Linked DNA regions of Macaca mulatta. The protein of the gene in region 2 interacts with the protein of the main gene of each other region in a biochemical or structural test. Links are inferred from orthologs where the notes say so. Each region holds a gene or a part of one and is shown on either strand. Other genes may lie near its edges.

Region 1 (3,988 bases), on a different chromosome or scaffold from region 2:
GGCTCTTAAACAGCTCTGCCCCTAAGGGGTGCAAGTGGGATGAGGGGAGGTTAAATCTCCTTTCACTCTCTGGGATCAAGGACCCTAAACCCCCTCTTTTGAATGCTGATCTGATGGTCTTTCAAGTAGAGACCAACAGAAACCATGCAAGTGACCCTGGAGTGGGGTGCCAGGCCTGGCTTGAGAGCATTTCCCAAGAAGAAAAGGAGACAAAGGGGCCCCAAAGGCCCAGTCTCCCCAACTCATCCCCAGCATGTTGTGGAATGAGAAGGTAAGAATTTGTAGATTTCCTTGGAGCAAACAGTTGGTCTGACAGCAGTGACCCTCTGATGATTCTTTTCCAGTGAGTGGCTAAGCTTCAGCCAGGGCCAGGCTGTCCTGCTTGCCTGCTTGCCTAGACAGCCCAGCTCTTTAAAGCAATCTTTGGGCCTCCAGGAAGGCACAGGGGAAGAGGAGAGACAGTAGCCTGGGATAGGATGGAACATGGAGTATCTGGGTGGTGGGGCTGAAGGGTAGAGGGGAACTTCTGCCTTAGGCCCAGAACCCTGAGGAGACTGAAAGAGGTGCTGATGTCAGCCCTCCTGGGAAGGAGTCAGGGGAGGAGGGGCTAGGGGCCCTAGTTTCAAGTCAGATAAAAGCCAAGCTGAAATGCTTATGAGAAGAAAAAGTGGGGCTTTGATAAATCAACTGGAAAGGCAGTTAAACTATGGAGCAGGTAAAGGGGTCTATAACCACCAATACTGATGGTGTGAGAGCTGGGCTCCTTCTGGCCCCTGATCATCACTGGGTTGTGTGCCTCTGACCATGAGTCTTGGGTCTTCTGGACTTTGGGGCTAGTTCCCACGTTCATCTGCTTTGAAACAGTGCAGAAAAGGATGTCTGGGTCAGACTTGGCAGGGACTCCATGGAACCTCAGCCTCTTGGGGTTCCTGTAGCAGCTGGCTGGGTGAACTGCACTCCCTAAGTTTTTATTTGGCTCCAGGGAGTCCTAGCCCCTTCCCCAAGAAGAGAGCCACTTATCTGGATTGACACCTCCAAACTTGGCCAGTTCTTTAGGGGTTCCTAGGAGCCCTAGGAAGAGCACCTGAGGAAACCAGCTGCACTCCCATGAAGCCTCTGCCCCTTTCTAGCTCTCCTGTTCCACTCCCCCACCCAAGTTCACTGGGATCAGGAGGCTCATCTCCCTCGGCCTCAGCCCCCTCCCTCCACCTGCCTCTCTAGCTCTGTGTCCCTGGCTGGGTCCTTTTCTCCTCCCGCCAGGCCTCTAGAGCCCACCTCTAATTGTCCTGATGGGAATAATCGGGGAGCGGGGTTGGCTGGAAAGGAAGGGGGAGGGGAGAATTGCTTAGCGCTATGGCCCCCTCCCCCATACCTTATCCGAGCTGGGGCAGTGGGACACACCCAGGGCTGAGATCCTTAGCTGGGAAGGGGGGAGAAGGGGGGAGACCCTAATAGCTATTCTCTGCAAACACCGGCCTTCCTCCGCAAGACAAACGGCCTCGTCTCTAGCCCGTGCCGGCGCTGCTGATAAATATTTAAAGCTAAAAGGCCGAGAGGAAGGGTGGGGGCGGGCTGGGGGCTCGCAGCGCCGTGGTGTCGGCGAAGAGAGATCCGCCGGGAAGCAGAGCAAGCCTGAGAGCACCGAGCAAATATGGGGGCGGGGACGGCCTGCTGGGTCGCGGCCCAGTGGGTGCAGCCTTCCAGGCCGACCTCCGGCTGGAGAGCACTCTGGACGCGGAAAGGGGCGCCCTGCCGGGAAGGGGGCGCCTTCCGGGTAATGTGCCCCGGCCCCTGGGGCTCGGGACAGCTCGGTGCGCGGCGTTACCTGAGCTTCGCATCCAGGGGTAGATCCGGAAGTTACTCTCGGCCGCCAAGTCCGAGTCCCTCTGCTCCTTGGCGCCCGCCGCCTTGGCGGAGTCGCCGGGACACACCCCGGAGAGGTTCTGCTCAAAGGGCGCGCAGTGCATGTTGAAGGAACTCGGCTCGAGCCCGTAGCCGGCCGCGTAGACGCCGGCCGCGCTCTGGCCCGCCATGCCCCCCCCGCCGGGGTACAAGCCCTGCATCGAGGCGGCGAAGGAAGCGCCCGAACCCGCTCCATAGCCCGGGCGCTGGGGGTTGGAAGCAAACGCACAAGAAGTTTGTTCGGGGAAGGCTCCGGTAGCGAAAACCGAACTTGAGGCTGGATATTTAGAAAATAAAGCATTCGCATAATACAATGAACTCATAATTTGGCCGGATGATTTGTAGGCAGGGACGTTTTAGTGTCGGTTTTACGAGATTCCTTGATATATTACAGAATTAGAGTCCAGATTTACACCAAAAAGGACCCCCTTTTTCCTCTCCGGACCACGTGACCCCCGCCCACGTGACGTCCCCTCCGCCAATGGCCGGGCCGCCTCCCCACGGCTCCCGGTAATACGGAAAAATTGTGTGGCGTTGGATTTATAAAATATGATCAATAATGAATGGGATAGCCGAACCCTGTGGATTGGGGCTAGGGGCTCAAGGGCCGCTGCCGACTCCCGCGGGCTGGAGGCAGCTTGCAGGCGAGATTTGGGGAGGAAGAGATTGAGTGGAAGGGAAAATAACCTCGGGGCGATCCGTATTGTCACCCCCCCCACCCATCCTCTTCAGCCCGTTACCCAGCGAGAGACAAATGCAGGGATTGAATGCATGCAACTGGGTGGGTGGGTGCTTGGGGCAGGTCTGTTCTTTATTAATCCGGGCCAATTGTGCACGGCAAGGCCTTTTGGGGAAGTTGGTCCGGTTCTCCCAAGACGAGGAATGAGGCGAGCCTGGCTCACGGCTCTGTCTCTCTTGGTGCCCCAGATATGCGGGCGGAGATGGAGCAAGGCTTCCTAGGTGCTCCTAGGGCACAGGATCCAGTCCACCGGCCTTGAACGCTGCGGTTTCTGGTGGCAAAAAATAAATAAATAAATAAAAAGGTTTGAAAGTAAAAGAAAGAAAGGGGTTGGGTGGGTGGGGAGAGAAAGGAAGGGTGGAGGGTAGTCCGGGCGCGCTGCTCTCCCGGTTCCCGGAGGCGGATGCCTCAGTGGAGCGTGACTACCAGAGAAGCAGAGGCAGCCAAGGAAGGAAGGCAGCCAGCCATGGCCTCAGAACAGAGAGAAGGTGGCCAAGTCCCAGAGAGGAAGAGGCAGGGAAGAGCGGTCTCCCTTCTTCTGCTCCCCCAACAACAAGAGTCCAAGAGGAAAAAAAAGTATGCTCAGCAGGCCTGCACTCCTCCTTTATGCCTGCCACCCCCCCACCTCCCCCCCCACCCCCGAAACACACACACTCGGGAGGACACACAGCAAAACAAAGAGGGAGGTGGCGGGGGACACAGCCACCAGCCCAGCCGCATGTCTCCAGCGTGGCCTGGGCGCCCTGGTCTCCCGGGCAGGGCAGCCTCGGAACGCGAGAGGAGGGGGTTTCTCTTGGCTCCCCTCCCTCGTTTTTCTCTCCTCCAATCAGGCGCAGCCGCCTCCTTCACCCCCAGCGCCCCTGGGCCGAAGGACTCGCACCACCTGCCTCCAGCCCCCGCCCCCTCCTCTCTGCGGCCTAGCCTCAGCAGGCGCAGGAGCCCTGTGACAGGCTCCCCACAGGTTCTGCAAGGCACCCGGGAGCAAATGAGGAGCTCTGGCCGGGCCAGTCTCGGTTTCTCGCTTGTAAACTTTATTGTAACTCTTCCGCCCTTTTCAGGCGCAGACAACAGAACAAAGTATAGAGGAACAACAAAATATATAATTAGCCCTCCCTCCCCCCCATAAAGCAATTCACGGATACAGGATACATTCTCTTCACAGTAAACCTAAGAACACTTGTAACAATTGCCCACAGCGCGCATGCTAACTAAAGTAACCTCTTTTGAGAAACACTTAAGACAAAATTGTCAAACCAAAGGGGGTGGGTGGAGAGGAAAAGAGAGAAGCCAGAGAGAAAGCCAGCGAGCTGGGGGGTGCAGCGAGGAGAGAGGATTGGGAGGGGAAAT
Region 2 (4,212 bases):
TCCCCTGGGAGCCTCAGAGACACATCCCCTCACTAAAATAAGATTGAGTCTCTCAAGAATGTTATTCTCGGGTCTGTCCCACCTAACTAAATGCCTTCAGTCCTTTGAATGTATTTAATGTAAAAACTCAAGCCATTTATTTGTTTAATATACATCCCTAAGATCTCTGTCCATCTCGTTACTCAATTTCTTAGACTAGTAGTTACACCAGACAAGGTGTCCCTTGTTTTTTTTAGAGACAGCGTCTCACTCAGTCACCCAGACTGGAGTGCAGCAGTGCGATCTCGGCTCACTACAACCTCTGCCTCCCAAGTTCAAGCGATTCTCATGCCTCAGCCTCCCAAGTAGCTGGAATTACAGGTGCATGTCACCATGCCTGGCTATTTTTTTGTATTTTTAGTACAGATGGGGTTTTACCATGTTGGCCAGGCTGCTCTCGAACTCCTGACTTCAAGTTGATCCACCAGCCTCCCCCTCCCAAAGTGCTGGGATTACAGGCATGAGCCATGGCATCCAGCCCCTTGTTTAATGTGCTTGACAATGATCCCTTCCTTGGTCCTCCACACTAACAGACCCTTTCACAATAGTGTGATGGTGATGAATGTGTAACTCAGGACCCAACTTAAGTATGATGTCGACTTTCTACTTTGGATTAAATCAGAGTCATTTAAAGCTGACTTTTGGTCCCACAAAAGAGCCCCTGTGCCTTACAAGGATCAAAACTGGAAAGGAAGAGGGAAAAGCTGGTTAAGTGTGGAAAATCCTTTCTGATCAACTTGTTATTAAGCATCTGATCATCCAATAATGGAAACTACTATGGAAAAAGCTATCCTTCGGGCTCCATCTTGGAAACAGCTGGATGTAAACAGTAGGATAAGCCTTTTTGTTAAGTCTTGTGTTACTGATTGTCCCCCTTTTTAAGACAAAATCTACAACAAATTCATTCAACAATAGCAAAGCTACAAAGCCATCCAGGTTACCAGTTTCAGAAGACAAGCTTCAAAGCTGAACTCGCCTCGTATGACCTACGTCTCACAGAACTGAAGACTACTCAAACACAGCAAGATTAATGAAGCAACTGAGATCTGTTTTGCAGTACAACGGCATTTAAACTATTGTTTCCACATTTCTCACTTCAGTAAGTTCATTTCATAAGATTAATGTCAAACTCAACTTTTATCAGCTAAAAAGAAAAACATTATTAGTGATTTTTACATACCATGAGCATCATTTACTCCTCCCCACTGTTTAAGAAATTTTAACTAGATAAGAATCTCCTTATGATTGATTTTTAAAAATCGTTTTTCACTTCCACATTAATATTAAATGTCTCTTATCATAACTTGATTCCAGGAATTGTATTCAAACTTAAGCCACAAAATTCAAGTTTTGTTTCAACAGCAATAGCAGTTTTTTGAATATGCTAGTGGTCGGTCACAGAACTATTTCCACAAGTTGAACAGCTGTGTCTAGCGCAAATCTGAAGGCAGCAATGTAATTCAATTTGGACTCATTCATTAGAAACTGATTTTCAGATGCTGCCACTGCAAGACTACTGGAGAAATGCAAGCTGCGCTGGAGACGGAATTGTTCGCAGCGGCACAGAAGTTTCTGCTGCAAAGGAGAGAGCTCTAAAAGAGGAAATACAACTAGTTCATGTTACCATGAACCAGCGCAGTAGGACCCAGAATTACTGAATGAATAGAAAACTAAATACTTCTCTTAAGCAGCAATGATTACTTAAGAAAGTTTCCAGGGAAGCTGTTAAATGAGAGGAAACAAACAAAAGATAATTTATTCAGTATCCTGCTACATTTTTTTGAAAAATTGGAATTCCTACATGCCTTAACATAATTTTTTGTACATCTACACTGTGAAAGCAACACAAACTCAAATGGAGATGGCAGCCCAAATGAACTTAAATCTGCTGTTTAACTTTCTTTTGAAGTTACACATGGAAATGAAACACACCACAGCAACTTTAATGACATCTTGCTAACGAAGTTTGGATTTTGAAAAATGGAATGACTAGTTCACTAAAAACAACAACAACAACAACAAAAAAAAAACAAAGAGTTTTGAAAATAAGCACTAAGCATCTTTCCAAGGAACTCACTCATTCCAAGAAACTTCGGTTCTAACTCGCAAGCTGGCGGCTGCTGTGAGTATCCTCTGACTGCAGCCTGATCAATGTGTCGCCAATCCAGAAAATACACTGCGCTACCTTTGGCCGCGATCTTGCTTTCTCTAAGCATCAAAGGTACCCTCCGCTGTCATTCCTCTGGACGGCCACGCGTGTGGACACGGCCGCGGATGGATGCGTAGGACATTACCAAACAAACCCACACACTGCACTTTACTTCTTCCCTCCTGGAGTGCCACTCGGGTCCCCGCGAGGAGGGCTGATCGGGTGCGGGGAGGCCGAGTGCACCGGGCGTGTGCTGCCCAACTCGGGCCCAGTGACAGTCCTGCGACGAACTTCCACCCTCCGGCGCGGGGCGAAGGGAACGGGCTGCGGGGCCTGCTCCGGGCTCCCGGCTCGGTAGGTATCCGCGACCACCACCCCCGGACACTCTCTTTCAGGTGGGGGTGACAGCGCGCCCCGGGCCCCCGCCGCCCCGGACCCCTCCTCACCTGTGCTGTCATTCGCCGAGAAGCCGGGCGAGCTGAGTTTGGCTCGTTTGGGGTTGGGCGGTCCGTCCAGCAAGTTCTCGGCCATTTTCACCTGCTCGCGAAAACAGCCCCGGGAGCGGACGGCCGGGCCGGCGAAGGCCCGGACGGGGGTCGGGGGCCCTGCCGGCTGCGAGGGAGAGCAGCGAGCGCGGCCGCGAGCGGGCGGGCGGGCGCCGAAGGAGAGGGAGGGCGCAGGCCGGGTGGGGGAGGCGGCGGCCAAATCTCAGCCACAGCAACAGCGCCCCGCAGCGCTCACCGCCCGCCCCCGGCCGCCGCCGCCGCCGCCGCCGCCGGCCGCGGCCCCCTCATCCCCTGCCCGCCTCCCGAGCGCGACACTCCGCGGCGGGGGCGCCCCGGCGGCCCGGCCGCCCCCCCGGGCCCGGCTGGCAGCGACGGCGCCCGGCCGGGCGGCTCAGGCAGTCCCCGGGAACATGGTGCCGCCGCCGCCGCCGCCTCGCTCCCCCCCCGCGCCCCACTTAATGAATTCGCTCGCGGCCCGACGACGAGGGGGCTCCGGGCTCCGCTCCCCGCCCGCGGCCCGCCGCCGCCGTGAGGAAAAACAATGCGCCGAGCGGGGTCGCCGCCGCCGCCGCGGCCCCCCCACCCCCCGTTCCGCCGCCGCCGCCGCCGCCGCCGCTGCCGCCGCCGCCGCCGCCGGGCTCCGGGAGGCCGAGCCGAGAGGCGAGCGGGGCCGCCGGGGCGGGCGCCGAGGGCCGGGCGGAGCGGGCCGGCCGGGCGGAGCGGGGTGCGCGGGCGGTTGTGGGGCCCGGGACCGGCGGGGCCGAGTAGATCGCGCTCGAAGCCCCGGTCGGGTCCGCGACAAGATGGCGGCTGTTGATTCCTCAATTAAAAAAAAAAGAAAGTTTTTTTTCTTCTCTTTCCAGAGCCTGAACGGGGAGGGGGTGGGGGCGGGGCACGCCGGTGCGTCACCCCCCCCGCGGCGTCACCACGCACGGCCCCCGCCCCGCCCCCTCCACCTGCGCCGGCCGTGGCGGAAAGAGCCGAGCGTGCTCGGGCCGAAGGGCCGAAGGCCCGAAGGCGCGGCCGCGAAGCGCAGGGCGGCGGGCTGCCGGGCGCGGGCCAGGCCTGCGGGGCGCCCGGGCTCCGGGCTGAGCCGCGGCTTTTGTTCTGATGGCGACGAGGCGGCGAGGGCCGGGGCTCCGGGCCCCAGCGGGCTCCGGGAGCAGCGGCCTGGCCACGGGCTGGGCTCTCCGGCGCGGATTCGACGCCAGCCCGGGCCCGCCCGTCCGGCTGGGGCGGCGCTGCGTGTTCCCAGCTCCTCGCGTCCCTGCCCGATACCCTCCTCGGTGGCGTCGGGCGGGGACGATCGGGGCGACCCCAGCCCAAGCCGCACCACTAGCCTTCGCCGCCGGCCAGGGAAGTGGAATGGCCCTGCAGGTTACAAACCGCCTTCAGGTCTGCCGACGAGGTGGGCGGATGGGGAAACTGAGGCAGGAGGGGGGAGAACAACTTCTCCAAAGTCGTCGAGGCAGCAAGTGGCAGGGCCGGGATTCGGGTCCCGCCCCACCTGGTGACACT
Region 3 (4,237 bases), on a different chromosome or scaffold from region 2:
ACACGACTGTAATCCCGGCTACCTGGGAGCTGGAGAATCTCTTGGACCTGGGAGGCAGAGGTTGCAGTGAGCTGAGATCATGCCACTGCACTCCAGCCTGGGCAAAAGAGTGAGACCCTGTCTCCAAAAAAAAAAAAAAAGTCTATGAAGAGTGTGCAGCCATTCCCCAAACACACACACACACACAGACAGAGAGAGAGAGAGAAAAAAAAAGAGAAGAAAAGCTCTTTCACATAATTAGCAGAGCTTATCTCTGGGTGGTAGGTTTAAAGTTTTTTTTTTTTTTGAGACAGAATCTCACTCTGTCACCCAGGCTGAGTGCAATGGCACGGTTATAGCTCACTGCAGCCTCTAAATCCAGGCTCAAGCAATCCTCCCACTTCAGCCTCCAGAGTAGCTGAGACTATAGGCACGTGTCACCCACACCCAGCTAATTTTTTATTTTTGTAGAGACAGGATTTTGTCATGTTGCCCAGACTGGTCTCAAACTCCCGCACACAAGTCATCCTCTTGCCTCGACTTCCCAAAGTGCTGGGATTATAGGCATGAGCCACCACCCCGGTCTAAAGATTTTATTTTCTTCTTTTTGCTCACTTGTGCTTTCTAATTTTTCTACACTGAAAAAAAGATGTGTAATTGGGAAGAAAAACAGGAAGTTTGAATAAAAACTGAAAAATCCTCTACTGAAGTGGGTAAAGCTGAGGCTTGCCTAGTGAGAAGGGGCTGCCCCCACTCTCTCATAGACTAGACCTTGGGCCACATGGCTGCCCATGCCTGGCCTTTGGGTCTGGAGAGGCAGTGTTTTTATTCATGAGTCAGTAAGAAAGGTCTGTTTCAGACCTGTGGCCCAGACCCGATTCTGTTGTCCAACTTGCCCATGAAGGGAGGGTTTGCATCCTCATTTTTCTGGAGGTGGAAACTAAGGTTCAGAGGGTGAGAGGGCTTGAGCAGGATGATAAAGGAAATGAGGAGTGTCCAGGTTCAACCTCTGACCCCAAAGCCCACGTCCTCCTGGCTTGGTCACGTTGCCTCTTGGACTACACTCACTGGGCCCAGGGATGTGGAACTGGTAGTTAAGCCCAGATCTCCCTAGGGCTTGGGATTTCAGGGTTCATCACTCCAGAGGGCAGTGAAGGACAACCCCTCATGCCAGGGATAGGGGAGGCTGTTTTGGAAAAGCCTCACAATCAGGGCCTCTCCTCTGGGGTCCTCCCCTAGCCCAGCCCCAGTGGGAAGGGCTGGGAAGCTCCTGGGGCAGGCAACCAGCTGGGTGATCTGCAAGGCTGCAGTAGGGCAGGAGTGGGGGTGGCATAGATGTATCTATTTTGCCAACCCCAGGGTGGCCACGGGTTCCATGGACATGTCCATTCAGGCTGTGAGTCTAGGCATCTTGTTCCTGCGACTTTGGCCTCAGTTTCCTCATCAACCAAGTGCAACTTAGCCAGTGTTGTTAAAACTCCTGCACAGAAACCATGGAGGCAGTTTGCTAGGGGCTTCCTTTTGCTCTGTCTACAAAATGGAAGCAACGGGCCTCCCAATTGGCACTTGGTGCCACCGTTGGCCCCTTCTCATCACAGCCAGAGTGGCTCTCCAAAGATGGAAGCCGGTGCCACTGTCCTGCTCCGCCCTTTCCCTGGCCGACCAAGTCGGTTCGCGTCCTCCTCCTCCCTGACCTCACTCCCTTGCAAGCCTCTAACTCCTCACACTTACGCCCTGCCTCGAGGCCTTTGCCCTTCCCTTGCCGTGGCCTGGAAAACATCTTTCCCTGCTGGTCCTGGGGGTGACCCTCAGGTCTCAGCCTAGAAGTCCTTCACTGCTCTGCCCAAAGTAGCCACATCCCTGCCCTGCCCTCCCCGCCAGCCTCGCTCCACCCAAGGTGCAACTAAATACCCGTTTGGTTTCCTGGGGGATTTTTGTGTTCCCGAAAGAGGGGGTGCCCAGGTCTGTCTGTGCCTAAGACGGGGCCTGGCATTCAGTGGATGTCAGTGAATGGGTGCGGAGGCGATTCCCGTCGCAGACCTGGTGAACCCCACCAGAGGCGGGGGAAGGGCGCGAGGCAGCGCCAGTGCGCATGCGTAAGAGCTCCGACGCTGAGCTGAACTCTCGGGCCGGAGGGAATGACCGTGAGTAACCTCGCAATTACGTCACGGCTGGGGCTGGGGCGGAGCTTCGGCGACGCCCGGGTCCCCAGCTCCAGCCGTGGCCACCACAGGGCTGAAGAGTCACCGGTCGGGCGGCACCCGGCCTGGGACGCGTAGGGGCGCACGTGTCCCGGCCCGGAGTCGCCAAGGGACCCCGGCCCGGCCCAAGAGCCCTCACCTCCGAGCGCGCGGCCCGAGACGCTAGGGCGGGAACCAGGGAGGCTCGGCTAGGCCCGGGACACCGAGGCGCACGGCACGCAGCTCAGAGACGCCGGGAAGTCCAGCGCGAGCACAGCACGGAGCTGGCGCCCGCGGGGGAGACAAAGGACAGGGAGGCACCTGCGCGCCCCCCACTCGCGTCACCCGGCGCGGCTTCGAGCCCTGCCCGCCCTGACGCACCTTCGATGTCGGTCAGCAGCGCCGCGTCCAGATCGCACGGCCCGCCCAGCGCCTGCTCCAAAGCCGCCTCGCTGAAGGGCGGCTCGTCCATGGCGCAGCCGCCTCCTCCGGGAGGCCCGCCGGGCCCGCCGCCTCGTACGGTCCTTCCCAGGGAGCGCCGCCGCGGCCCCGGCTCGCAGTTGCCGCCGCCGCTCCGCGCGTTTGTGTCCTGCCCTGGCCTCGGAGGCGGCCCGGCGCCCGCGAAAAGTTCCACGGAAACTGGGTTCCCCCTGCTGCGGCTCCGCTGGGCGGTCGAGGCGGAGGCGGGGCCTTTCGGGAAAGCCCCGCCCTCCCAGATAGACGGCCCCGCCCCACCTTGAAAGAAGCGGGGGACCCCTGATCCCCGGTCTGCGCCACAAATCTCCCCTCAGCCGGCCCCTCCTCCAGAGCGCCCTCCAGTCATTCATTTTATCCAGCCTCGCGCACAATGGCAGCGGCTTCTGGCCGGCTGCTGCAGGAACGCGGGCAAGCCAAGCCCCCTCTCTGGTCCTCTGTTTCTCCAGCACCAAGCAAGAGAGCTGAGTGGAAGCCCCAGGCCTGGGCCCATCCCAAACCTCATTTCCTCACTTCCTAGATTTGACTCTTTACCACAGGACAGGGCAGGATCCAAGTTATAGGGGTCTCAGGCCTGCTGTGTTGTGAGCAGGCCTGATGTAACTGCTGGGCCAGTTACATCACTCTGCCTCAATTTTCCTCATTTGTAACATTGGCCTAATGATGCTTCCTCACGGGTTGGCTGGGAGGCTAGTGACAATGTGGAGGGGAGCATGACCTGTGAGATCAGCCTGCCCCCTCTCTGCAAAAAAACCAGAAGATTGGCCTCTTGAGGACAGCAGTGGCCAAAGAAAGAGGCTGGAATTTCCTATCGTCTTCATTTGGTTTCCTCCCAGATCCAGCTGTAGGGATAGGATACCAGTGGGCCCAGTGCAGCTCCTGAAGGAGGAAGCCAGTACCCAAGGAAGACTGGCCCCAGGACTGTCTGACCCCAGATTTGGTACTTGTTCCCGGGAGCAGTCAGGATAGGGGCCACAAGGAAGAGGTGGCTGTGCTTTAGATCAGAGCCAGGCTGCCCTGGATCATGACAAACTGGGACTAGGTCAGAGCAGGCAGCCCTGTTGAGAAGAGGGCTGGAAACCAAACCTGGTTCTGTGGCCTAGGGACAGAGCCAGGTTGGGGCAGGAAGGAGGGATGGGGTCCCAATGAGGTGGGTTGAAATAAACCGGAATTAACATTCAGGTATCTGAATGTGATAAGGCAGTGAGCTCCCTGTCCCCAGAGGTATGCAAGCAGAGAGAAGCACCCTTGGTGGAGGCCAGCCCAGGAAACTCATCAGGGGCCTGGGCCTCAGGCCTTCCTGACCCCAGACCTTCATGAGTCAAGCCATCCTGCGGACGGCCTTGCTCAGACTCCAGATATAGCCTGTCTGACCACGCCCTAAGCAGGAGTAAAATTCATGATGCATTTTAGAAGGGGTGTGTGGGGGAGAGAAGCCACAGAGCCCAAGTCCCTGGGGCTCAGCCTGGACATCCAGCTCCCTTTGTTCCTCTCCCAGAAGTGGCTGCAGTGGAAAATTACCCAGAATAGGGGAGCCAGAAGTCATAGGGGTCACCAAACCACATCTCCCCAAGTAGCTCTGCTCAAGGGTCCACCCAGGACCC

Evidence for each region.
Region 1: the proteins of CREBBP (region 2) and HOXB7 form a complex in vitro, tested with the Homo sapiens proteins (2 studies listed by BioGRID). The link is inferred for Macaca mulatta from reciprocal best matches to the Homo sapiens genes CREBBP and HOXB7.
Region 3: the proteins of CREBBP (region 2) and SREBF1 form a complex in vitro, tested with the Homo sapiens proteins (5 studies listed by BioGRID, with this or other methods). The link is inferred for Macaca mulatta from reciprocal best matches to the Homo sapiens genes CREBBP and SREBF1.

The regions. Positions count from the first base shown.
Region 1 is NC_133421.1:61,398,642-61,402,629, reverse strand, and holds the start of HOXB7 (homeobox protein Hox-B7), read right to left. Parts: upstream 2,801-3,988; 5' UTR 2,226-2,800; coding exon 1,826-2,225; intron 1-1,825. Other genes in the region: uncharacterized protein LOC114673140, read right to left, coding at 2,801-2,912. UniProt on the Homo sapiens protein: Sequence-specific transcription factor which is part of a developmental regulatory system that provides cells with specific positional identities on the anterior-posterior axis.
Region 2 is NC_133425.1:5,100,799-5,105,010, forward strand, and holds the start of CREBBP (CREB-binding protein), read right to left. Parts: upstream 2,801-4,212; 5' UTR 2,720-2,800; coding exon 2,635-2,719; intron 1-2,634. UniProt on the Homo sapiens protein: Acetylates histones, giving a specific tag for transcriptional activation. Mediates acetylation of histone H3 at 'Lys-18' and 'Lys-27' (H3K18ac and H3K27ac, respectively).
Region 3 is NC_133421.1:19,395,348-19,399,584, forward strand, and holds the start of SREBF1 (sterol regulatory element-binding protein 1), read right to left. Parts: upstream 2,801-4,237; 5' UTR 2,632-2,800; coding exon 2,541-2,631; intron 1-2,540.